Linked DNA regions of Mus musculus: all the other regions are reported to be linked to region 6. The links are microRNA targets in miRTarBase. Many come from high-throughput screens and were not tested one by one. Region 6 holds a microRNA gene; each other region holds the end of a gene's coding sequence.

Evidence for each region. Region 6 holds the annotated microRNA mmu-miR-5127 (UCUCCCAACCCUUUUCCCA, at 1,420-1,438, shown strand). A microRNA usually pairs through its seed, bases 2 to 8, with sites in the 3' UTR of a target mRNA and lowers its output. Matches are read on the target gene's strand: a 7mer-m8 pairs with bases 2 to 8, a 7mer-A1 pairs with bases 2 to 7 and ends in A, and an 8mer does both.
Region 1: miRTarBase lists Depdc5 as a target of mmu-miR-5127. Seed matches in the 3' UTR shown: 7mer-A1 at 2,449-2,455 and 7mer-m8 at 1,682-1,688.
Region 2: miRTarBase lists Stxbp4 as a target of mmu-miR-5127. Seed matches in the 3' UTR shown: 7mer-m8 at 1,290-1,296 and 7mer-m8 at 2,738-2,744.
Region 3: miRTarBase lists Gpr12 as a target of mmu-miR-5127. Seed matches in the 3' UTR shown: 7mer-m8 at 989-995.
Region 4: the mRNA of Car5b is a reported target of mmu-miR-5127. Seed matches in the 3' UTR shown: 7mer-m8 at 1,255-1,261.
Region 5: miRTarBase lists Cntn2 as a target of mmu-miR-5127. Seed matches in the 3' UTR shown: 8mer at 1,746-1,753 and 7mer-A1 at 2,869-2,875.

What each region holds. Positions count from the first base shown.
Region 1 is chr5:32,990,602-32,994,689 of GRCm38, reverse strand. Depdc5 (DEP domain containing 5) reads right to left here. Exons shown (of 43, transcript NM_001170567.1): 42 at 3,866-3,948; 43 at 457-3,751. The coding sequence ends at 3,459. Among named protein-coding and RNA genes, the nearest start is that of Ywhah, 26 kb to the left of the region's middle.
Region 2 is chr11:90,477,236-90,481,323 of GRCm38, reverse strand. Stxbp4 (syntaxin binding protein 4) reads left to right here. Exons shown (of 18, transcript NM_011505.2): 18 at 610-4,088. The coding sequence ends at 724. Among named protein-coding and RNA genes, the nearest start is that of Gm34850, 6.4 kb to the right of the region's middle.
Region 3 is chr5:146,579,790-146,583,877 of GRCm38, reverse strand. It overlaps Gpr12 (G-protein coupled receptor 12), which reads left to right. Exons shown (of 2, transcript NM_001359056.1): 2 at 1-1,728. The coding sequence ends at 772. Among named protein-coding and RNA genes, the nearest start is that of Gpr12, 3.4 kb to the left of the region's middle.
Region 4 is chrX:163,975,649-163,979,736 of GRCm38, reverse strand. It overlaps Car5b (carbonic anhydrase 5b, mitochondrial), which reads left to right. Exons shown (of 8, transcript NM_181315.4): 8 at 367-2,915. The coding sequence ends at 546. It overlaps Gm38561 (a long non-coding RNA gene), which reads right to left. Exons shown (of 4, transcript XR_878297.3): 2 at 2,938-4,088. Among named protein-coding and RNA genes, the nearest start is that of Gm38561, 19 kb to the right of the region's middle.
Region 5 is chr1:132,511,959-132,516,046 of GRCm38, reverse strand. It overlaps Cntn2 (contactin 2), which reads left to right. Exons shown (of 23, transcript NM_177129.5): 22 at 1-26; 23 at 410-4,088. The coding sequence ends at 513. Among named protein-coding and RNA genes, the nearest start is that of Tmem81, 7.8 kb to the right of the region's middle.
Region 6 is chr18:81,989,370-81,993,457 of GRCm38, reverse strand. It overlaps Mir5127 (microRNA 5127), which reads left to right and starts at 1,378; the gene lies at 1,378-1,448.

The DNA of each region.
Region 1 (4,088 bases), not on the chromosome of region 6:
TGAAGGCTGTAAGACCTACTCTTGGCACATGCTCTTGGACAAGCAAAAGCTAGAATTGGAGAGCACTCTCGGCTATGTTTAGGGCAAGCATGTGGTTATAGTTTTAAGGCTAGGAGCTGCCTGAAGCTTCTGCAGGCTGAACTCAGCAATTGCAGGCCCATGGGGGAAACTGGCAGGGTCCTGGGGGCTGGGCAGTCACTGTCTACTCTAGCAGGGATTCTGTGTGGGAAGCTATGGCCCTGTTACAGGATGCCTGTGTCTGAATACATGGAATTTGCAGTTCAAGGCAAAGAGGATTGGCACAGCACATGATCATGTCATGCTATCCCACAAAACAGTCAGCCTGGATTCCTCTCAGCTGTATGGCCTGGCCTCCACCTCCAGAGGCCTTCCCTTTACCTCTTCTCAGGCATGTGTCACGCCTAGCACACAGTAAGCGCTCAGAAAGTAGGTGGCTGTAGAGAACAATAAATTGGCCTTTATTCTGCTTCTCTCCGGCTGTTTTCTATCCACTTTAGTGAACTTTAACAGATCTTAATATTTAAAATTTTTCAATTAAATTTATGCATGTATGTATATATGTGGATACATGAGTACCACAACATCTGTGTGGCCATCAGAGAACTTTCTGGAGTTGATCCTTTCCACCATATAGGTCTGGGGAGCTGAACTTAAATCACCAATGGCAAACACCTTTATTTATTGAGCTTGGAATCTGGAATGCTAGAGACTGCAGGAACTGGAGCTCAAGGCCAGGAGCATCTCAGGACAGCTGATAGGCAAGTGACCTGGTATTCCATCAGTTGAACTCCTGCCAGGTAATTTTCTATGTCTTCCAAGTTACCTCTGGAATATGACAAAAACTGTATGTGAAGGGGTAATTGATGGCTCCATAGGATGGATAACAGGACCACACGAGATCACACGGTCTGGCGTGGCCAACAGCTGCTGTGACCACAGAGGAGGCTGGCATGGAACCCTGAACATACCCATCTGGGAAAACGAGAACTTGATTTACTCTCTTTTCAGTACTAAGCTCTTTCAAACGAAAACATCCTTTTTGTTTGTGTGTGCTTATTTGCTTGGGACAGTGTCTTACTGTGTGTGTCCTGGAGTGACCTCAAAATCACAGCAACCTTCTTCCCTCTCCTTTAGTCTTCTCAAGTGCTGCGGTTACAGGTACACTCCACAAAGTCCAGCTGTACCTGCCTCAACCCCCCAGTTACTCCAGACAGCTCCCACTGACAAGAAGGCTGACATCAAGGAGGAGCAATATTCATGGGAAGAAAAGTATGTGTGTGTGTGAAGCTAAGTTTTTTTTAGGCTTACTTCCCATGGATCACACTTTCACACGTTAACAGCTTACTCTCTCAAAAGCTTCACATGCAGGAGCTAGGGACATGGCTCAGCCAGTAAGAGCACTTGGAGCTCTGGGAGGACCCAGGTTCCCAACCCAGCACCCAAATGGTGGCTCACGACCGTCTAGACTCTAGTTCCAGGGGATCTGATGTCCTCTCTTTTGACCTAACGATGCACCCATACACACACACAACACACACACACCTTTAAAAAAAAAAAACCTTTACATACAGGACTTAATAGCTGTGATTAGAAGTTCCCGATGAGTGCAGCTTGGAACAGTGTACGCAGAAGATTTGAGCTGGTTCAAGGGAATGCACAACTCCCAAGGCAGCTGTGAGAACAGCCCACTAGGCAAGACAATACTTGGTTTTACTTTTGTAGTGTTGTGAATTGAGTCCAGAGCCTGGTGCCTGCTATGCTGGCTCTGATCTGCATCTCCAGCACCATACTGAAGGTTTTTGGAGTCAGGTAGTCAAGAGAATTCTAAGTGGCAAGTCTAAATGGAGTGGAGCTGTCTGTTTGATTTTAAGATTTATTTTTGTTTTATGTGAGTGCTTTGCTTGCACGTATTATATATGTGGATATATGTATATGTACCACATGTGTGCCCGATGCAAAAGAAGGTCAGAAGAGGGTGTGGAGTCCCCTGGAACTCCAGGTATGGATGGCTGTGAGTGACCTCACGCTGGCACTGAACTCAGGTGCTCTGTAAGATCAGTCAAATGCTCTTAACTGAGTCATCTTTCCAGCCCCAAAGTGAGACTTTCTGAGACAGTCTCATTGTAAAGCTCAACTTTGCTAAGTACACACTATGGAGGCCAGCCTACCTCAGTCTCCTAAACACTGGTATTACAGGAAGCTGCTGTACCTGCTTGGAGTAGTTTTTTTAAAAAACAAAAACCCAACAAAACCCTAGTTTCCCAGGAGAGTGCAGTAGGATGAACCAGAGACAAGTTAGGTTTCCTGGAGAGAAGAGAAACAAGGAAGGCTGGACCTGGAGTTGTACATAGGGCCCAGGAGAGGTAAAGAAGGTAAGGTACATCAAGGGGCTGGAGAGATGGCTCAGAGGTTAAGAGCACTGACTGCTCTCCCAGAGGTCCTGAGTTCAAATCCCAGCAAGCACATGGTGGCTCAGAACCATCTGTAATGGGATCCGATGCCCTGTTCTGGTGTCTGAAGATAGCTACAGTGTATTTATCATATATACCAAATACATGAATAAAATCTTTAAAAAAAAAAGGTACATCAATGGGGTGTGTGATTAACTCTAGTATAGGAGGAAGCAGTAGTCATGGTCTTCGGTCTTTGCCTTCCCTGAGCAGTCTAGAGCGAAAAGCACTCACTGGACGTGTAGGGAATGCCGTGATGTCTGCTTCCCTGAGCTGGCCCATCCACTTAACGAGGCATATTTCTGACATGACAAGCCTAGAGCTTCTTACTATACTGTACTGTACTGTCTGCTCAGTAGTCCTGTCCTGTCCAGAAGATCCTTGTTCTTGCCCAAGGACTTTGAAAAAGAAACCTATCAAGCCAGCTCAGAGCCAGACTCAAGACCAGTGTGTCCTGAAGCCCTCTGGCCACCTGAGGTGACCTGACTGGCCTGGCTACCAACAAGGCTGGGAACAGACACCGGGGGAGGGAGAGAGGGAGGGAGGGAGGGAGGGAGGGAGGGCTTTATTAGATTCTGCTATGTACACATATGTACAGCTGGTGTGAGCCAATGGTACATTATGCCACAGATTTACCTCATACACACACTCTTGGGCAGAAAGCAGGAGGTTCTGTTCCGAATATCCCACTGCTGGTGAAGGAAAAGGACCCTAATGGAAGCTGCCTACCCCACTCCCAGACACTGACTCACTCCCACGGACAATCTGTGCCTCCCCCTGCTTCAGGGACAGGATTGGCAAGATTTGGTTGGCGGTAGCGGCAGCAGCTGCTTCCAATCTTTCTCTTCACTCACACTTGTGCAGAGGCCAAATATCAGCAGTGGCCCCACTCACTGATAGGAGCAGCCTGACACCTGCTGCCCAGAGCCTGACCGGAAGGCCAGCTCCAGCATACCCACAGCCTCTCTTAAGAGAAGCAGCCTGGCTTCATGGAGCACTGGCATGCATCTTCTCCAGGCAGTTTGTCCAGAACGTGACCAGTCGGTTGTCACGGTTGATGCAGAAATCCGTGAAGTCCTTCAGCAGCCGATCAGCAAACTTCTCGTCCCCTGTGGCACTAGAGCGCCATGTCTTGGTCAGCATGGTGTTGTAGGCCCAGTTGTAGCCAACCCGCTCCTCACAGAACATGTTTTGGTTGGTGGAGCTGGTAGAGTTCCGTCGCCGCCGCTGCTGCCCTGAAAACTTGCGTTTGGAGTACGGCAGCTGAAGGAACACCGTTCCTGAAGGGAGAGACCATGCCTGAGTGGAGCTGTGGTGAACACCTGCAGCAGGCTCTGGTGGTCCTACCCTGAAGGCTCGGGCAGGGCCTCGTGCACCCACCCACAGCGCCTCACCTGTGACATGGATATACTGTGGCTTATTCTCAGCAGGGAAGTTAAAAGCGGAGACAGAATATTTATCTTGCACAAATCCAAACCTACGGTAAGGACAGACACATTGTCTCATTAGCTAGAGAAACAGGGAGCAGTGTGCAGCTGAACTCTTGACAGGTAAGGGTGTGCCAGAATGTGCAAAGGCCTCTGGTGTGGAACATGCGGGCTACAGATTGTTGTTCTC
Region 2 (4,088 bases), not on the chromosome of region 6:
ATATCACTTGCAAAACTTGGTTTTCTTGCTTCCTGCTCTCCCCATCCGGGTAACATTATAAGGGAAGCAGTAGTTAAATTAGAGATCGTATGGGTTCAGATGGAAGGACTCATATGGAGAAATTTCTTCTTTGGAGTAAGTGTGCCCTGACTCACTAGGGAAGAGAAATGCCCTCCAGAATCATACTGTAGAATTTTTCTTGACCCAGAATTGAGTAGAGCCGAGTATTTCTCAAGTAAATGACAGTGTATGCTTTGTCGTTTGGCCTGGTCTTTGGAGTGGAGTGGGGAATGAACACTGGAAAGGAGGGCAGCAGACAAACTCCAGAGGTGTTGCACACAGCTACACAGCCACAGACATACTCACAGACAGTGTCCTTCAGATGAGGAAACAGGAGTTTGAGGTGATATGTTCATCTTCATTCATGGTTATAAAAGACCCTAAAACCTCTCCAAGCCTTCTTAACACTACTGGATCTGGTTCTAATTGCTTCCTGTCCCAGGGGCCAACAACTGGGTCGAAGCAGGTAGTCCCCAGAATCAATACGTGTTCCGTTACGTAGAAAGAGAGCTGTTCACATGCTAATCTGCACCCCTTGTTCTTCCCAAGCCACGTGACACAGACCACGTCCTGGATCCACCCCGTGATGAGCGCCCTGAACCTGTCCTGTGCAGAGGAGAGTGAAGAGGACTGTCCCAGAGAGCTAACAGACCCGAAAAGCTGATGGGTTTCCATGGGAAATGGAGCAGCAGAGTCCTCTGGCTTCTCAGTCCATGTCCACAACCAGACACAAGCCACCACACCCCGAGACACAGGAATCCAGCACGTGCACCAGGCAGGGTGTCAAGTCGCAAGTGTGGTATTTTCGTGTACATGTTAAAGATCAGTTGCCACTACAGTAGTTTTTTTGGAAATAATCTAGTTGCATTTATTGAAGTCATTTATAGTCAGATTTTACATGCATAAACCTCTTTATAATTAGATCTTTATAACTCAGTATGTTAGCTCATTGTTTGGTATGAGATACAATGGTTTGTATATCAACACTTCATATTGAAAAGTTATACGAACATAGCAAACTCCTTTTTATAACTCTCCCTCCCAACCCACAGCTTAGGAAAAATGTTCTGAGAAAGCGAGGGGAGGCTGCCTCACAGCTGTCCCACTAGCTGCTGACTACAACTTGTACCAAATAGGACACCACCTAACTTATATTATTAGGAGACATCTATCATTTATAAAGTGCTTTCAAGCCGGGCAGTGGTGGTGCACGCCTTTAATCCCAGCACTTGGGAGGTAGAGGCAGGCGGATTTCTGAGTTCGAGGCCAGCCTGGCCTACAAAGTGAGTTCCAGGACAGCCAGGGCTACACAGAGAAACCCTGTCTCGAAAAAAAAAAAAAAAAAAATGCTTTCAAACCTCACCTTACTTAAACCAAACAGCATAGATTTTGAGCTGATCTACAGGGCAGTTCTACTCATGGCTTCAGCTGGAGAAACAGTGGTTCAGAGAGACAGAGCAGCCCATCCCAGGGATGAGACTCACACCTTATCTTCTGATTCCGTGTCCAGGCGCCTTTGCCCTGCTCCCTACTGTCCCCACAGAGGGAGATTGCAGCCCAGCAGAGTATCTACAGTCTGTTGATGCAGCTGGGTCCACAGCTGTGCATTCCACAGCAGTCCAGAGGACACCTCAGAGTCATGACCCACTCTCTTCCTTCTGCGGCCCCAACCCCACCACCACCACCACCACCACCACCCTTAGATACCAAGCAGGACACTGCTCTGTGACTTTTCAGTGGGCTTTGTATTTTCTAGACTAGAGACACTGGCTCATGGCCATGCTTAGGTGCCATGAGCCAGTAGGAGCATCTAAAGAGAGCTGACAGGAGAAAGGTATTTGTTTAAACACTGCTGGAGCGCTTGTAAAAGGATGGAGGCCAGGAGCCAAGCAAAGCAGCGCAGCATCACTTAGGCAAGCATAGAGCTCCCAAGAACACGGTGCAAGAACCTTCACTCAGGGCCACTTTATAAGTAAGTCACGGAGTTCCTGCAGTGGAGCAGCACCTGTGTCAGCATCAGACCCTAGCTCCTTACATTCTCTGCTGAGTTTTACCTGGTATAGGGAATGCATATGGAAAATACACATGGGCATCGTGCTCACCCATACCTCTCTGAATACATTTAAGATGTAGGGTTTAAGCTGAATGCACTTAGGATTCATGTTTTCCTTCATGAGGAAGAACATAAAGTCAAATACAGACTGACAAGGAGACTCGAACCCTAACAACGACAGAATGGCTGGAGCAAACGTATGCCTCTCCTCACAGCTGTCTGGATCTTAGGATGCTTCGAGAAGCGGGGTAGGGGTAGGTGGCTTTGAGAGCAGCTGCAGAAGGACCTGTTTCAAGTCCCAAAGAGGTGTGAACAGGCACTCACACGCTTTTATAAGACCGTCTCTGCTGTGACACCAGCACACTCCTGTTAGGAGATCATTCTCCTGCCTCGCATTGGAGAGTGTCCTCAATTGTTTGTAAGGGAAGCTGAGATGGGCTCCTGAAGCATGCAGTCTTTAATCTGTATGTGTGCATGTGTGTGTGGCACTCACAACCTCTCTGCTGCTAGTATCAAGTCCCTCCCTATTTCTACCAAATACATAATCAAAAAGATCTATAAAAACACATAGCTCTATGTACTGAGCACTCTATACCATACATTTCGGTATACAATGAACATCTTTTGGGAGGTCTTTTTGGGATAGCCACTCTCTGTGTATACCACCCTGGCCTTGAGTTCACAATCCCCCTGCCTCAACCTCCCAAGTACTGGTATTTCAGCAACAAGTACCTTCTTGAAGGTACCCAAAGTGATTCCAATTTTATGAAAAAGCTGAGGTTTAGAAAGAAGTGGTCCCAAGGATCCCACCATGCCTTTGTGTTGATGCTGGATCTGAGGCAAGTCTTAGACCCCAGGGCTTCCTTAAACCAGGGTGTAGAGCCTCCTGGATTTAGTCAGCCCTGCAGGACTCCAGCTTTCAGTCACGAAGAACTTCCCGATTTGTAAGAAAGGAATTCTCCAGGAGAAAATAGCATTCCATCAGGTTCCTGTGTAACTGAGCATCTCATGTGAATGCAGCTAAGGAGGTTGAGCCTCTGAATTAGCTGAATCAGGCGAACACTCATTGAGAACTATTCTTTAGTCCCTATGTCCTCACCCATGTGTTCCCTTGGGATGCTCAGTAGCTACCAGCGGTGTGACCAGCACTCTGGTCACCAGGGCAAAGCAGAGCTACAGCTAACCATTTCAAAATAAAAATGATCTTGAAAGTCAGAATTTGTTAACTTCTAAATTTTAAAAATAGTTTCTTTTCCTTTCAAAAACGAGATCAAAGTTCTGTAGAAATAAGTCGAGTTAGATAAATAGCCCGTCTAACTTTCTGGAAGCTGCCGTCACCAATATTTCAGTAACTATTTCCCCTCGAGGGTAAGCCTGCCACCCTTAAACAGCTCCCCCTTGAATTGGTATGTTGTGGTCATCTTTTCATGGTGATATACGCATTCTGTTGCATTTTAAGTGTCTGCTTAAGCTATCACTTCCCAGAATACCCTTCACCAGTTGTTCAGCAACTCATTAAAGAAATCTTAGGCTACTGTAAGGTCTTTCCCGTAACAGTGTCATGGCGAGCATTTGTGTATTTATTAAAACCTTTTCTTCAAGTACCCCCGCACTCAAACATGAGCGTCTGTAGACTGAATACTTTTGAAAGCCACTGTGTCAGAGTACAAAGTTTTGTCACTGAACAAAGAGCTTCTCCATCCCTGCCTAAAAAACCTGGATTTTTGTTTTAAATTGGATATTTTCTTTATTTACATTTCAAATGTAAACCTGGATGTTTTAATCATTGGGTTTTATCATCTCTTTAGCATCGGAGACTGGCTTGCTGTGTGGGGCAGAGTCTGGCAGTGACTAATTCAGTGTTCCACACATGGCATTCCTCTCAGTGTGTTCTACTTTACATGTAATGATGATAAGGACTTGCTTCTAAATTAGCAGAGAGAGCAAAGGCATGCATACAGCATGCGCACCATTT
Region 3 (4,088 bases), not on the chromosome of region 6:
CATGTTCCTACTGATAGGCAGCCTGGCTCTTGCAGACCTGCTGGCTGGCCTGGGACTCATCATCAATTTTGTTTTTGCGTACCTGCTTCAGTCAGAAGCCACCAAGCTGGTCACCATCGGACTCATTGTCGCCTCTTTCTCTGCCTCTGTCTGCAGTTTGCTGGCTATTACTGTGGACCGCTACCTCTCGCTATATTACGCCCTGACGTACCACTCCGAGAGGACCGTCACCTTTACCTATGTCATGCTAGTGATGCTCTGGGGAACCTCCATCTGCCTGGGGCTGCTGCCCGTCATGGGCTGGAACTGCTTGAGGGACGAGTCCACCTGCAGCGTGGTCAGACCTCTCACTAAGAACAACGCTGCCATCCTCTCCATCTCCTTCCTCTTCATGTTTGCTCTGATGCTTCAGCTCTACATCCAGATTTGTAAGATTGTGATGAGGCACGCCCATCAGATAGCCCTGCAGCACCACTTCCTGGCTACATCGCACTATGTGACTACCCGGAAAGGGGTCTCGACCCTGGCTCTCATCCTAGGGACCTTTGCTGCCTGCTGGATGCCTTTCACCCTCTATTCCTTGATCGCCGATTACACCTACCCTTCGATCTATACCTATGCCACCCTCCTGCCCGCCACCTACAATTCCATCATCAACCCTGTCATTTACGCTTTCAGAAACCAAGAGATCCAGAAAGCCCTCTGCCTCATTTGCTGTGGGTGCATCCCTTCCTCGCTGTCTCAGAGAGCTCGGTCTCCCAGCGATGTGTAGCAGCCTTCTCCTCATAGGACGCTGCCTCTACCAAGCGCTCCCACCTCCCAGGGCGGCCAGTGATTTCCTTCCTTAAATTCTTTGCACTGGATCTCACAAGCAGAAGCAATGACATCTTTTAGACACGTATTGACAGTGGAAATCATCTTACCAGTGTTTTTTAAAAAAAAAACAAAACAAAACTCGACTTCTCGGCTCAGCATTCTGTTGTTTGGTTTGGGAGTTAGGATTTGTTTGTTTGTTTGCTTGTTTGTTTGTTTGGAGGGTGTAATGGGACCTCATGTGGCCATGAAATTATACAAAAGTCTCGGGATTTTTTAACCTAGGCTTGAAAATAAATCAAAGTTTTAAAGGAAACTGGAGAAGGAAATACTTTTTCTGAAGGAAATACTTTTTTTTTTTTAATCAAGGTAGATCTTCCATTCTGTATGTATCTAACAGGATAGGAGCTTTGCCATATAACCAAAATAGTTTATATAATTACATTTGGAAGGGCTTGTGTTTATTTCTAGGAATTCAGTAATAAGTGACCAGTAACAGAGGCGCGAACTCCTTTCTTTCCTTTCAGCAGTAGTGACTGCTCTTAAGAATCACTTTGCAGTTTCTCTGTGTTACAGTTTGGTATGCATGGTTACCTGTGGTAGTCAGATCACTAATTGCAATATTGCCATGTTAAACCCAGAATTAAAAGAGTCATTTTTTCTTCAATACAGTTTTTGAAATATCCTTTCCAAAGTGAGTCATGAAAAAAATGTTTCCAATTACATATGAGATAGCACTGGTTAGATTTGTCATTGTGATTTTTAAAACTCTAGACTGGTGGTTTTCAGAAAACAAAAGAGAAAATATTAACAGCATCTATTGAAAGAAGATTTTATTTATTTTTAATATATTCTGAGAGAATAAATGGTGTGATACTATTAAGAAATATACAAACATGACTTTTCAAATCTCTATCTATGGATACATTGTTATTCTTACTTAAGATGAGTAGAATTAAGTATTATAAATGGAAAATTTTCTCATTCTGTTGGTAGGGCAAATTGCATCTGAAGCAGGTGGTCTCCTACCTTAACAACTAGGTCTGAGGCACGCCCAGCTAACATGACTGGGGTGTACCAGCTGTGTCCTGTGTGCTCATGCAGGAATGACCATATGTCTGATGGTGAAAAGTTTAATTTCCTTTTACCAGAAGACATCCTCCATGCAACAAGGACTCTGCTGCCTGCTTTCAGAAAGCAAAGGTTTACCTGGGAAATTACTACAAGACGTGACTTAAAACACCATACAGAGTAATTATGTCCAAGTGTCATTTTCTGTGAAAGCAGACAGATGTAAGATACACTGTCCCTCAGTTTGCAATGGGCTCATGGCTGTGTCTATACAGGAAGTGGAAGAATTCCTGAATGGCACATCAAGACCAGTATTTCAGGATCCTTGGTGAGGGGTCATTTGTAATAGGTTCCCCTCAAAGGCTTGTCCCAATCAGTATTTTATGTATTTTATAGATATTATTTTATGTATATGAGTACACTGTAGCTGTACAGATGGTTGTGAGCTTTCATATAGTTGCTGGGAATTGAACTGAGGACCTCTGCTCGCTCTGGCCCAAAGATTTATTTATTATTATATCTAAGTACACTGTAGCTGTCTTCAGACAGCCCCAGAAGAGGACATCAGATCTCATTACAGATGGTTGTGAGCCACCATGTGGTTGCTGGGATTTGAACTCAGGACCTCTGGAAGAACAATCAGAGCTCTTAACCGCTGAGCCATCTCACCAGCCCCTGGCCATGATGATTTCAGGACCAGTCTTCAAAGCCTGCCTGCCAAACCCATTCCTCCAAAGTTGCTTCTCAAGTGGCTCAAGTGAGAAAGCATCTTATACTTGAATCTGTATCTCTTCTCTGAGGCTGCTCATGGCTGCATGAGAGGGATTGAAATACTGAAGAAGTAGGAAAGGATTTTCAGCCCTGTATGATCAACCCCAATCCAGCCAACAGCTTTAAAACATTTATTTTGAATACAATATGGGCGTGGTAAGAAAGAATAGGTTGAGTCTTTTTATTCATTAATTTAAATATCTTATTTATGTATTCATTTTACTTACAACTCACATAGATGTACATATGTGTGCAGGTGTCATGAGAGGCCACAGGTATCCAAATGGCCTGGAGCTGCAGTTACAGCTGGTTGTGAGCTGCCATGTGGATGTTGGGAATAGAACCTGGGTCTTCCACAACAGCAGTCAGTGCTCTTAACCACTGAGCCATCTCTCCAGCCCCAGTCATTTAGCTTAGACTTGAGCAGGAAACTCTCATAATGGGTCCTTAAAGCAACAGATGGCGCTTTATGGGATGGGAGCTCTCCTTTGCACATCTCTGCTAGGGGACACAGGAGTGCAGTCAGTTTTGCCTGGCCCACGTGTGCTCTCAACCCTGAACTTGCTGTTTTACTAGCTTTCCTTTCTTTCTTTTTTAAATGCAACTGTGAAAACACACATTTGTGGTGAGAAAACCGGAGCTCAGAGAGAGGTGAAGAAGCAGGCTGAGGCCTCTGAGAGAGCTGTAGGGTGAGGCTAGAACTGAAGGCAGGCTTTCCATTCTCCCTTCCCTGCCCCTCCATAATGTTGTCTTTGATCCCTTACTCCACAAAGAAAGCTGCCTTTGAACAGGTCGCTGTCACATAATCTGGGTTCTGTCATTAAGAAAAAGGTTCCCATTTGAAATCACACGTGGACCATCAAACCAATGTGGGTAAATGTTTGTGTACACGGGGCACTGGGTGAAATGGTCTTATGGATACGTATTTGGTGGTTGCTTAAAATTTTCTGACATTAATTTGTGTATGAGTGTGTGTGTATGTCTATGTGCGTGCACATGCATGTGTACCATGGTATCAGTATGGAGGTGAGAGGACAGTTTGTGAGCGTCTGTTCTCAGTACTCTCCTTCTATATGTAGATTCTGGGTATTGAACTCCGGTTGTTAGGCTTGGTGGCAAGCGCCTTTTACCTGCTAAGCCATCTTGCTGGCCCAGAGGTTTGAGCCATGTTCTTAAAAAATGCCTGATTTTATTTGAAATGTTTTCTCCAGTTCTTCTTGTTTAAATTTGTGAAGAGTTTTTGAACATAAGTTATTTCCTACAAGGTTTCTTGTCTTTAATAAAGATAATCACTAAGAAATTGGAACCTATTTCAATATAGGTACACGTGTGTAAGGATGTGAATGTGTGCCTGTGCGTGTGTGTTTACATCATGGAAAATTGTCATTCTAGGACACTCTAAGGTAGCAGGGAATCTTTTATTCCATATAATT
Region 4 (4,088 bases), not on the chromosome of region 6:
TTTGACCACTTCCTGCTGCTGTCACACAACCATGCCAGCAACATGGCATTTAACCCCTTATCAAGGGGTGAAGAGAGCATTCTCAGAAATAAGTTCTCTTTCTGAATCCAATTTGAGACAAAGGATTGTAGAATTATAGAAATGAAAGCAAACCAAGTGTGGTGTGGTGCATATCTATAATCCCGTTATTTAGGAAACAGAAGGGGGTGGCTCTCCAGGAGTTGGAAGCCAACCTGGTCTATATAATGAGTTCTAAGGGTTACACAGTGAGACTCATGACAAACAAACAAACAAACAAAAAAGAAAGTAATTTATCCATATACTAAAGCTTGTTTCTGATTGATATTCGTAATGTTTTGTTTCTAGCTTGAGCAGTTTCGGACCCTGCTTTTCACTTCTGAGGGAGAGAAAGAGAAAAGAATGGTGGACAACTTCCGCCCTCTTCAGCCGCTGATGAATCGCACAGTCCGCTCATCCTTCCGCCATGACTATGTGCTCAATATACAAGTGAAGCCCAAGCCAACAGCCAGCGAAGTCACCCCCTAAGACAGCATTCTTCAGCAGCATCTTGTTTTAATGACTATTAGCTTAAAATTTTAACTAGATTATTTTAAAACACAGCATTTAATAATACTTATATGTATACATTTCTATTTTTTTCTTCCTTTTTTGGGTAACATTTCAAAATTCCTACTCTTGTAAAGCAAAGACCGGGAGACAAACGAAGAAAAACAAAAACCTGTACCCAAATAACGTCAATCTGAGGTCACCCTTTCTTTCTTTCTTTCTTTCTTTCTTTCTTTCTTTCTTTCTTTCTTTCTTTCTTTCTTCTTTCTTTCTTTCTTTCTTTCTTTCTTTCTTTTTTTTTTTTGAGACAGGGTTTCTCTGTGTAGTCTTGGCTAGCCTGGAACTCACTTTGTAGACCAGGCTGGCCTCGAACTCAGAAATCCACCTGTCTCTGCCTCCCAAGTGCTGGGATTAAAGGCGTGCGCCACCACGCTCAGCAGATTTACTTATTATTATATGTAAGTATGATGTAGCTGTCTTTAGACACACCAGAAGAGGGTGTCAGGTCTCATTATGGATGGTTGTGAGCCACGGTTGCTGGGAATTGAACTCAGGACTTTCAGAAGAGCAGTCAGTGCTCTTAACTGCTGAGCCATCTCTCCAGTCCAGAGGTCACCCTTTCTTATGACAGCGTTAAGGCAGAGGAATCTGCCAGGCAGTGGTGGCGCACGGCTTTAATCCCAGCACTTGGGAGGCAGAGACAGGTGGATTTCTGAGTTCGAGGCCAGCCTGGTCTACAAAGTGAGTTCCAGGACAGCCAGGGCTACACAGAGAAACCCTATCTCGGGGAAAAAGAAAAAAAAAAGGCAGAGGAATCTTCATTAACTGTTAAATCTCTCTAATCTATTTCTCAGACAGTCAGAAAGACAATTTAGTTTCCTTTTGGTTAAATGGGGGCTTAATATGAGTGCCTGATCTTGATTTTTCTGTTTGGGTCTAATTCAGGAGCTTAGCTCACAACAAGAGGTTCTTGTGAATTTGATTTTAAAATGCCCCCCTTTTGTTCAAACTGGTGAATTGTCTCACCTTTCATTGTTGGTCAAGTTCTTAGCTACCATCATTTGGAGGTGAATGGCTCTCAAAGTTTAGGTGTAAACTTCCTGGTTTTAGAGTATTTCATGTCTTTTTTAAAAGAGAAGGTCTCATCTGTGTAGCCCTGGCTGTCCTGGAAATCACTATGTAAACCAGTCTAGACTTGAACTCACAGAAGTCTGTCTGTCTTTGCCTCCCAAGTGCTGGGAATAAAGGCTTGTGCCACCAAGGCCAGCTTTCATTATATTTGCTCTTTGACTGATAATAATATGTGTCATTGGAATATTAACAGAACATGCAAGTTGCACTTATAGCAATCTGTTAGTAATTGTGTTTTTATATCTGAAATTGTGTATGTGTGTGTGTTTTGAGACAGTGTCCCACTCTGTAGTCCAGGCTGGCCTGGAACTCATAGTTAAACTTTTGTCTCAGTCTCTCAAGTGTACAAGGCACCACACTCAACGATTATATTTGCCTTCCTTGGCTATCCTTTTTATTTGTGAAACAAGGTATCCTTTAGCTCAGGCTGTATTAGAAGGTGCTGTGTAGCAGGAGCTGCTTTGAAGCTTCAGGTCCTCCTGCTTCCACATCCCAACTGCTAGCATTGCAAGTGTGCGCCACTCCGCTCAGCTTCAGCTCTCTTCCAGTGTTCATAGCTGTGTAGAATCACAAGTAGGGATTACAGTCAAACTGTTAAAAACTACCAATGGTGGTGCTACTTACCACACAAAGCCCAGGCTTCTCAGAAAACGTCTGTGGGAGCCCAGACCAGCAAGTCCGAGCTGAATGCTGGCCATAGTTTTAGGTATATTTTGTTTCAAAACTTGGGTGTGAATTTTTGTATTCATACTTCTCAATGAGTATGTTTATACTAATCTTTAGTTGCTATTACTAGCATATGATATGTCTACTTATTATCAATTTACTGTATAGAAAATACATTTGGTAGTCATGGGCTGGCTCAGTGGGTAAAGACACTTGCCATGTGAACCTAAAGACCTGAGCTTGATCCCCAGAGCTCACATAACTAACCCCACCAAATTGCTGTCTGACCAAGCATCTTTCATCCCATACATACAACCACATACACATTATAAATGCACACAATAATAAATAAAACTTTGGGGGACGGTTCAAGACAGGGTTTCTCTGGATAGCCCTGGCTGTTCTGGAAACTCACTCTGTAGACCAGGCTGGCCTAGAACTCAGAAATCCACCTGCCTCTGCCTCCCAAGTGCTGACATTAAAGGTATGCGCCGCCACTGCCTGATCTAAATAAAACTTTAAAAGAATAAAAAAGAAGCTATATTTTGTAATCACAAGAAAAGAAGAGCTTACTGTTTCTAGAAGTTCTTTTGCATTTTTCCAAGTCAGATGCTTTACCATAGAGTTTGGGATTGTATAGGGAGTATGTCTCAGGGTTATTACTGCTGTGAGGAAGCACCATGAGCAAAGAACCTTGGGGAGAAAGAGGGTTTGTTTGGTTTACTCTTCCACACACTGCTCATCATTGAAGGATGTCAGGGCAGGAACTCAAGCAGGCTTGGATGCAGGAGCTCATGCAGAGACCATGGATGGTGCCGATTACTGCCTTGCTTGCCCTGGCTTGCTCACCCTGCTTTCTTATAGAACCCGGGACTACCAGGGGTGACATCACCCACAAGGGACTGGACTCTTCTCTATTGATCACTAATTAAGAAAAACATGCCTTACAGCTGGATCTCATGGAGGCATTTCCTCAATCAAGTTTCCCTCCTTTCAGATGACTCTAGCTTGTGTCAAATTGACATAAAAGTAGCCAGGACAAAGCATATACAGAACGTTCTAATGATTGAAGTGCTAGAGGACAGAAATATTTCACGCTGGATTTATAGAAATACATCTCAAATCATCTAGTAGTCAATTATTTTTAATATTAGTTGCATTGTTCATACACTGTTACATAGAATACAATAGCATTTCCAGCAATATTTTTCTTTTATGCATAAGGGTATTTTTCCTGCATGCCATGTATGTCTGTGCACCACATGCATGCTGGGTGCCCAAAAAGACCAGAAGACAATGTTGGATCCCCTGTAACTGGAGTTACAAATGGTTATTAGCTATCTTGTGGGTTCCTCTTTAAGAGCGTCAAGTGCTCTAAACTTAGGAACCATCTTTTCAGTACCCTTTAATATTTTATAAAATTGATTTTATGTGCTTATTAGCCAAGGTGTGTGTGTGTGTGTGTGTATGTGTGTGTGTGTGTGTGTGTGTGTGTGTGTGTGTTGGGGCTGGAAAAGCATGCTGCTGAAGTTCTATTTTTTGGCTGGAATATAAAAATTGTATCATATTTCCTGAATATATTTTCTATAGTACAAGCTATGATTACACCAGCTCTTTGGCCAACATGATAGTCACATAGACTTAGAGTAATTAGAATTGTAAAAGCCTCTGTGTTCAGCATATGCCTCCCTTGTGGTGGTATGAAGCTAAACCATGCACATTCT
Region 5 (4,088 bases), not on the chromosome of region 6:
CGAAGTCCACATTGTGAGAAATGGAGGTACTGCCCCTCCCTTCCCCCTTTCTACCTAGCCCCTCAGCAGTATTAGTCCACCAGATACTGGTCAAGGGATTGTCCCCAAGAGCCAGCTCTAACCTAGACACCACCCCTCCCCCACGAGAAAGGAAAGACAGGCAATGAATGGTGCCATGCCACTGTCCCCTCCCTACCCTAGAACCACCCCAAGGTAAGGAGGGAATACATCTTTTTTATGGGGACCAAGAACGAAGGTCAGTGCTTCATGGGTAAGGCTAAGAACATCACTAGCCTTCGGTTCTTAAGGCCTCCATATGACTTTCCTCCAGAGGCCTCCGGGTTCTTTTGTAAGGGCAGGGCTGGGAGGCTCACTCAGCCACCCAGTTTCTACCACTGGCTGGTTTCAGGCACCAGCATGATGGTGGAGAGCTCAGCCGTCCGCCCTGCCCATCCTGGCCCGGTGTTCTCCTGCATGGTTATACTGATGCTCGCCGGATGCCAGAGGCTCTGATCTCAACGCTGCCCGCCACGCCCAAGCTGGACACCCACCCTAACAGACACAGCGGCTGGCCACAGCCCCCCTCCAACGCCAAGGTGGTCCAACACTGCCTGAGAGTGGCTGGCTTAGACACCTTCTCCCAACAGTACCCTTTACGTAGGAGGTAGGATATTTCTATTCTGCCACAGGATAGAACCAGGCAAGGAATTTTTCTTTAAATCAAGAGGCACTGGGCAGTGACTTCCATGATAATACTAGACCTAATGCCTGGACCCTCTGGGGTCCTGGACAGAAGGAACAAGCCTTTGGATAGAAGGTATTTGACATACATCTTCAGATCAAGTGGATGGCCCTCTGGGGCCACAAGTGGGCACTGCCATCTCTCATCTCTCTGGGATGAGAGTCCCAGGCCCAGCAGGAACATGGGCAGCAGTGGGCTATCAATTTCCCTCTATGAAGCAGAGGGACCTTTCCTAGTCCTTGCTGGAGAAGCACCAGTTAGTCCCCACGTGGGCTTCGTGGCTCCCCGGCAGTCCTGCTTACTCAGTAGCCAAGAACAAGGCCCTGGGTTACTGGGGATAAGAGCTCTAAAGGGTTGAGAGGCTACACCACCTGATGGAAAGGGGCACCAGACTGAAGCCCATTCACCACCCCGGTGGCACTGCCCTCTCAGCCAGCACTGCCATCCCTGCCATCCTCCAGATGGAATGGTGGAGTGACAGGGCCACTTGAGGTGGCTATGTGACTAAAGGGCTTGTCTCGAGTTGCCTTGCCTCATCGGGATGCTCCCTTCATGGACCCTCCAGGGTAGGGGCAGGCGACGCCCATCTGAATGCCGTGCTCTTCCCTTCAGCTCTGCTGCAGACTTGTGCCTGCCTCCTCCTCCCATAACTGCAGGCCCTGGAAACCAGCTCTCAACACAGCATCCATTCTTTGTCCTGGGATGGAGAGGCATCTGAGAAGGGTCAGCATCAATGTGGCCCTGCCTGCTTCCAGGAATACCCTCCATCACCTGGCCACACCTGCTCCCCAAACTGCCTGGACTCTCTTGGGTCCCCGGAAGTAAAGAGTTAATGAGGTGGTGGAGGTGGAGGCAGCCTGCCTTGAGCTCTGGGTACATTACCAGTGACAGCCCAGACTACAGAAGCTGAAGAAGCCTTATAGCTTGACTTATCCATACCTTGCCCTTAACAGATGAGGAAACGATGCCGGGCAGTGCTGGCGCACGCCTTTAATCCCAGCACTTGGGAGACAGAGGCAGGCGGATTTCTGAGTTCGAGGCCAGCCTGGTCTACAAAGTGAGTTCCAGGACAGCCAGGGCTATACAGAGAAACCCTGTCTTGAAAATGGAGGTCCAGAAAGGGTTAAGGACTTCTTAGGGTCACATGATCTGTAAGTGACAAGGCTTGGTCAAGAACCAGAGTCTCCTCCCCACCTGTGGGAGGCTCTGTGGAGGAGAGAGGTGTGGTGCTGGGCAGTCGCCGCCCGGTCTCTAGGATGAGCCCTCTGCTTCAAGAGGTTCAGGGTGCTGAGAAGATCAACATGGATGCTCTCAGTCCAAGGCACAGGCAGATGCTAGGAGTCAGCGGCCTGAGGCTGGCTTCTGCCGGGAACTCAGCAGGGAGAGCTGGCTGGAAGCCTCTCAGGCTCTCTCTTTTCATTTCAAGAAAAGAAGTCAAAGTGAGGACAGAGTTCCCTAGACCAGGACTCTGTGCAGCCCGACCAGAAGTCGCCAGTGTCCATGCCCTGAGCCCGTGAGAGCAGCAGAGCAGGCGTTTCAAGAGGCGCTTGCCCTGCTGTTCCTTGGGCCATTTCTGTAGTTTACAGTTAGAGCTCTATTTTGTTATGGGTTTTTAAAACTTTAAGCCCTGCTCTTTTTTCCTGGGCGGGTTTATGTTAGTATTTACCCACTACAATTTTTTAAAGATGTCCACACACTCACGTACCTTTCCCCCTACCACCTCCATACCTTCCCCTAGCTAAGGACTGCTTCCTTGGAGCTGATTAAACCCTCCCTCTTCTGCTCCCAGCATCTCACATACAAGGGTGCTAGGGGCTCAGCCATGTGATCATTCTCCCTCCCGTGAACCCCAGAGATGGTCCAGCATCCCTCCCTCCCCATCCTATGCTGGCTGGGATTTGGCTCGGGCCTAGCCCTGGAAAACCCTAGCTAGCCCTGGAAAGGGGCACCTGAAACCTTCCAAGGTTTACCTATTTCTCACTGCCTTGGGTTTGTGGGGTGGGGGGAGTGCTAAAGAAATGGGTATCTAGTGTCTGGGCAGGGTAAGTGAACCTGGTCAGGGAGGTGGGAGGCTACAGCCCCTAAGCTTTTCTTCTAACAAGGTCCATGAAAAGCAGGCAAGCTGCTGGGAGACTGGAGAAGAGGAAAACCTTAGCCCTGTGCAGGTAGCATTTGTTGTGGGGAGGTGAGGCTGTGCCAGCAGCTTTGGAGCTTCGAGTGTTATCTAAGGTGTAAGGAGACCGCAGGTGACTCGCCAACGTGAGCTTGTAAATAGAAAAAAAAAAAAGCCTCTTGCTGAGGAAACTTGGACCTTAACTGGCTTGGGAAGGAGGGCTAGATCAAATGGCTTCTCAGAGTCCCTCTCCTGCCAAGGGTCCTCTTGACTTCTGTACAGGCTGGGGAAGCTTTTGGACTGGCCCCTGCTATGGTCCTGACTGCTAGGGGTGAAGCTGCCTATAAATACCTCTCCAGGGGCTGGGAGGTACCCTCTGTTCCATCCACCACACTGCTCATTGCCATCTGATGGTACAAATGAGTGGCTCTGCCATCCAGGGCAGCAGGTGACCCAGACAGTGGGGAAGTCGGGAGGCGATGGGGCAGGGATGAGAAGCCTGACCGTGAACAGGAGAGAATGAAGCCAAGGTCAGGGAAGTCTTCGGGAATAAGGAAAGTCTTCCTTTGGGTAACCTTTGAGGTGTTTCGGTGTTCTGTCCAATCCTGGTTGGGTGAAGTCCTGACTTGAGGAGTAGGAGGTGCTGAGTCCTCCCAGAGCTGAGATCTTAGAATCCAAATGCCTAGTACAGGGAAGCCGTAGAGGTACCATCTGCAGCTTATTTTAAAAGCCATCAGTGGGAATGATCCCCAGAACAGTCCTTACAAAGTCGTGCCTTCCCCAGCGCATCCTAGCCCGTACTCTAGCCAAGAGCTCAGCGTGGCTAGCTAAGCTATCCTTCCCTCACGCCTTTTCTTCTCCTAGTTGTCCAATAGCCAATAGGACTCCTGCATGCCAGGGGGACAGCAGTATCCTCACACCTGTTAATGAGTTCAAGTGTGGTGTTCGCTCTCGCTAGCTGAGACTATACCTTGCCAGGGAGTCTGGAGTGTGCCTCTTGAACCTGTATATGTGGTCCCAGGCTTTGGGAAATCAGGGCATTAAAGAAAACAAGAGAGGAGGAGGAGGGAAAAAGAAGGAGGGAGAAGGAGGAGGAGGGAGGGGGGAGGAGGAAGAAAAGATAAAAAAGCTCTGTTCAGAGCCCCAGGTAGCCTCAGAGGCCTAGGGTCCTTAAGTTTCTTTAGAGGGAACGCAACCTGCCTTGGCACCAGATACCTCCAACTTAGCCCCCGG
Region 6 (4,088 bases):
AGACAGGATGAATAAATCTCACAGTGGATATCCACATGCTAGCAGGACTGAGCCCCCAGGGGCTGTTCAGTTCAAGGGGCCAGTTGCCTTTACAGTCCTAATCAGATACTGAATACCTGAAGGATTCCTAGAGGGATGCTTGCTTTCAGTCTACTTGGAAGGTTGTAGAAAGTGGATTCTGACATCAGTGTGGGATCACAGTGCCAGCAGCAGTAGCAACAATGTTGATACACTCACAAGCCAGGCATAGCAGTAGCAACAATGTTGATAAACTCACAAGCCAGGCATAACAGTAGCAACAATGTGATACACTCACAAGCCAGGCATAACAGTAGCAACAATGTTGATACTCTCACAAGCCAGGCATAACAGTAGCAACAATGTTGATACACTCACAAGCCAGGCATAACAGTGGCAACAATGTTGATACACTCACAAGCCAGGCATAACAGTAGCAACAATGTTGATACACGCTCAAGCCAGGCATAATAGCAACGATGTTGATACACTCACAAGCCAGGCATAACAGTGGCAACAATGTTGATACACTCACAAGCCAGGCATAATAGTAGCAACAATGTTGATACACTCATAAGCCAGACATGACACCAGCAACAATGTCGATGCATTCACAAAACAGGCATAACAGTAGCAACAGTGTTGATACACTCAAGCCAGGGATGACTGTAGCAACAATGTTGATAGACTCACAAGCCAGGCATAAAGGCAGAACAGCTTTCTTTCAACCCTCCTTGTATGGAGGCACTGTGGAAGGCACTGCCCATTTGCCAGCCCAGAGAATAAGTCTTAGTTCATTCCAGAAACAATCTACTTGATGCACAGGTTATCTAACCACCTGTGCATTTGAGTTCCATCAGATGAACAGCACTCTGGGATGTCATCATTTTCCCCTCGTACTGGCTGGGTCTGTGTGTCAACTTGACACAAGCTGGAGTTATCACAGAGAAAGGAGCCTCCCTTGAGAAAATGCTACCATGAGATCCAGTGTAAGGCATTTTCTCAATTAGTGATGAAGGGGGGAAGGCCCACTGTGGGTGGTGTCATCCCTGGGCTGGTAGTCCTGGGTTCTATAAGAAAGCAAGCTGAGCAAGCCAGAGTAAGCAAGCCAGTAAGCATGGTCTCTGCATCAACTCCTACCTCCAGGTTCCTGCCCTGTGTGAGTTCCTATCCTGACTCCCTTTGATGATGAACAGCAATGTGGAAGTGTAAGCTGAATAAACCCTTTGCTCCCCAACTTGCTTCTTGGTCATGGTGTTTTGTGCAGGAATAGAAACCCTGACTGAGACACCCCCTAAGGTCAACAGAGGCCTCAGCACCCCTATGTACTGAGATTTTGTGTTCCTGCCTGGCTGTGTTGCTTTCTCTACTTGGTGAAATGTGGTGACATATGGTGACATTTCTCCCAACCCTTTTCCCAGGAGAGAGGGATCTTTGTCCTTTGTAGAGCTAGTGCTCCACACTATGTGCAGGGAGCGTTGGCAATCATGGAAATGTCTTTGAGTTGAGGGCTCAAGTTGAGGGAACAATTTTGGCTCCCTCCGATGTTTCTTTTGTGCACATGGATAGCATTAATCTGAGTCCTTGGTCCATGAAACTTTTCAAATGCTCTGTGGGTGTGGCTAGCAGCAGTGGCATCCTCCTGGGGCAGAGTGTGTCCTGGATGGAGGAGAGTACCTGTCACTGCTGGATCACCAGCTCCTGGTGTCTTGTCCCAAATCTGCAAGGAGGATAGCTATTTCTGCCGTTATACAGGGCTGTCCAAACCTGACTGTCTGTATTATCCTGATTGGGAGCTTCTGTGCCAGCCTGGCATCTGTGTCTCTAACTCTAAGTCCAGCTCAGTTAAGATATTTGCTTTTAACTATGAATACAGAGTTAGCTTTAATCGTTAACTGTTTTATAAGCCCATAAGCACAACATGAGTTGCTTTTAGGTAAATATAAGAATGGAAGGATTTTTTACTAACTAGACAGGTTTGAGAGAAGGAGTGTTTATGCAAGTCTGTAAAGAAAACCAAGGGAATGAGGTCTCCATCATGGTGTTAAGGTGCAGCTGGGCAGCATGTGTTAGGCCTCCTGGGCAGCTTTGCTCCAGGAAATAATATACACTTAATCCAGATTTTAAAAACCATAAAGAAGAAAAATATTTGTTTAGGCTTGGTATAATCCCCAAGCTAACTATACATCATAATGGAGCAATATAAGAATCTGCAGAAACTAATTACTCCTGTTGTCTGTCTATGCCTGGACTATACAGCCAGCCAGCCATGCACATACCCATGACTTTCTTCTAACACTGCAGTGTTCCCTAGTTTTCACTTCTTACAAAACATTGCATGGGTATACATAAAGCTTCCACCTCAATAAATAGGCAGAAGCATAAAATCCTCTGATATAGAAATGAAAAAGTCTCTCTCTCTCTCTCTCTCTCTCTCTCTCCCTGCCCAAGCATGACTACTGTGATCACAGACAAGGACTATGTCTTTAGAGTCAGTGTCGTTTTCTTATTTCTGTTCATAGACACCTCAAAACTACACGACAACTCACAGAGAGAGTGTCCACTAAGAAATAGTTAGTGAACTGGGGCTGAGGAGATGGCTCAGTAGTAGTGAGTATGAAGATCTGAACTCTGACCCCAACTTCCTTGTGAAAGAAAAAATCAGGATGTCCATGTGTACCTGAAACCCCAGCACTGGGCAGAGAGCACGTGGGAAGAGACAGGAGGATTGCACTGAACCTGCCCAGCTCCAGGTTCAGTGCAAAACCTTGTCAAAGGAAAACAGTCAAAAGTGATAGAGCAGGACACCCACTGTCTTCCTCTGGCCCCTGTAAGTACACAGGAGAGAGTACCTATTCAGATGTACACACACATGTACACACACAGAGAGAGGGGGGATTAATAAAGCCTTACTAACTAATTTGGACCACATCTAAAAATGAGATATGTCCTGAAGTCTTAGGAGGCTGGGGACTTGGCTATATATCCTGGAAGCCCATGTACAACCCGAACACACAAAGCCTTGCTTGGGTTGATGGAAACTCAGCCTAAACAGTGAGTAATCTCATCTACTTCCTTCGGAGGTGAACCATCCACACATCGGCTGTTCCATACACCGAGGGCCCTGGATCACAGCACGCCCAACAGTTGCTGTCAGAATGTTATGGAAGGAGCAATGCCAGAAGGTGAGAACATGACAGAGCTATCCTTAGCTACCCAGAGAGCTGCCACCTAGGAAGGATGATTATGGCTTCTCCAGAAGTCTGGGTGTCATTAGCGTCTTTCTGAATATCATCTCTCACCAGCTTTCTTCTTTGTGTTGACTCATATTGCTCCCACTGCAAAGGCAACAGGTTTTTGTGCCCAATAAGCAGTGGCTGTACTCCCAAAGTACAGATTGGGGTTTCCATAGCTACAGAACAACAAGCATCTATCCTTTCAAACCTGTTGATGGGAACATCAGGTAGAGGTTACAGAAATGAGGACAGTTCCTGTTACAGGTCTCAGGTGTTCTCTGAGGACAGTCATAGCTTTTGGGTTGGTAGAGCTTCTGACATTTCCAAGACGTAAAGTGGCAGCTGCAAGGCTGTTAGTGAAACATGAGATGGACAATGCATGGCTAATAACATAGCTGATGATATTTCAAGATCATCTGTAATATTCCAACTCTCCACAAAGCTCAAATCTGCCAATGATTCCAGTCTGGTATGGAGCGTGGGGAGTGGGTGACTTTCTGGGAACTTCAGTTCTCATTGTAATTAAGCTGAGTGCTGGTTCTCTAAAGAACATGGCTGCCCCTCTTGCCCAGTAGCTGTGTGTCTGCCTCATTATCAGATACTAAGCACATTGTTATCTGCTAAGAGAATCCTGAAAGCACTGCCTATAGCCTGCTGTGATCTCTTCCTGTTGGGTAAGTTTCCTGCAGATCAACATGAACTTTCATGAATAAATGCTGTTTAAATGAATTAAGGACTTTATAGAATTCCTGATTTGATTCAAATGATTTTAGGAAGAAAGTTTAAGTAAATGGTTTTGGTTGTTTTGCCAGAAAGATGTAACAAAGTTAGAAT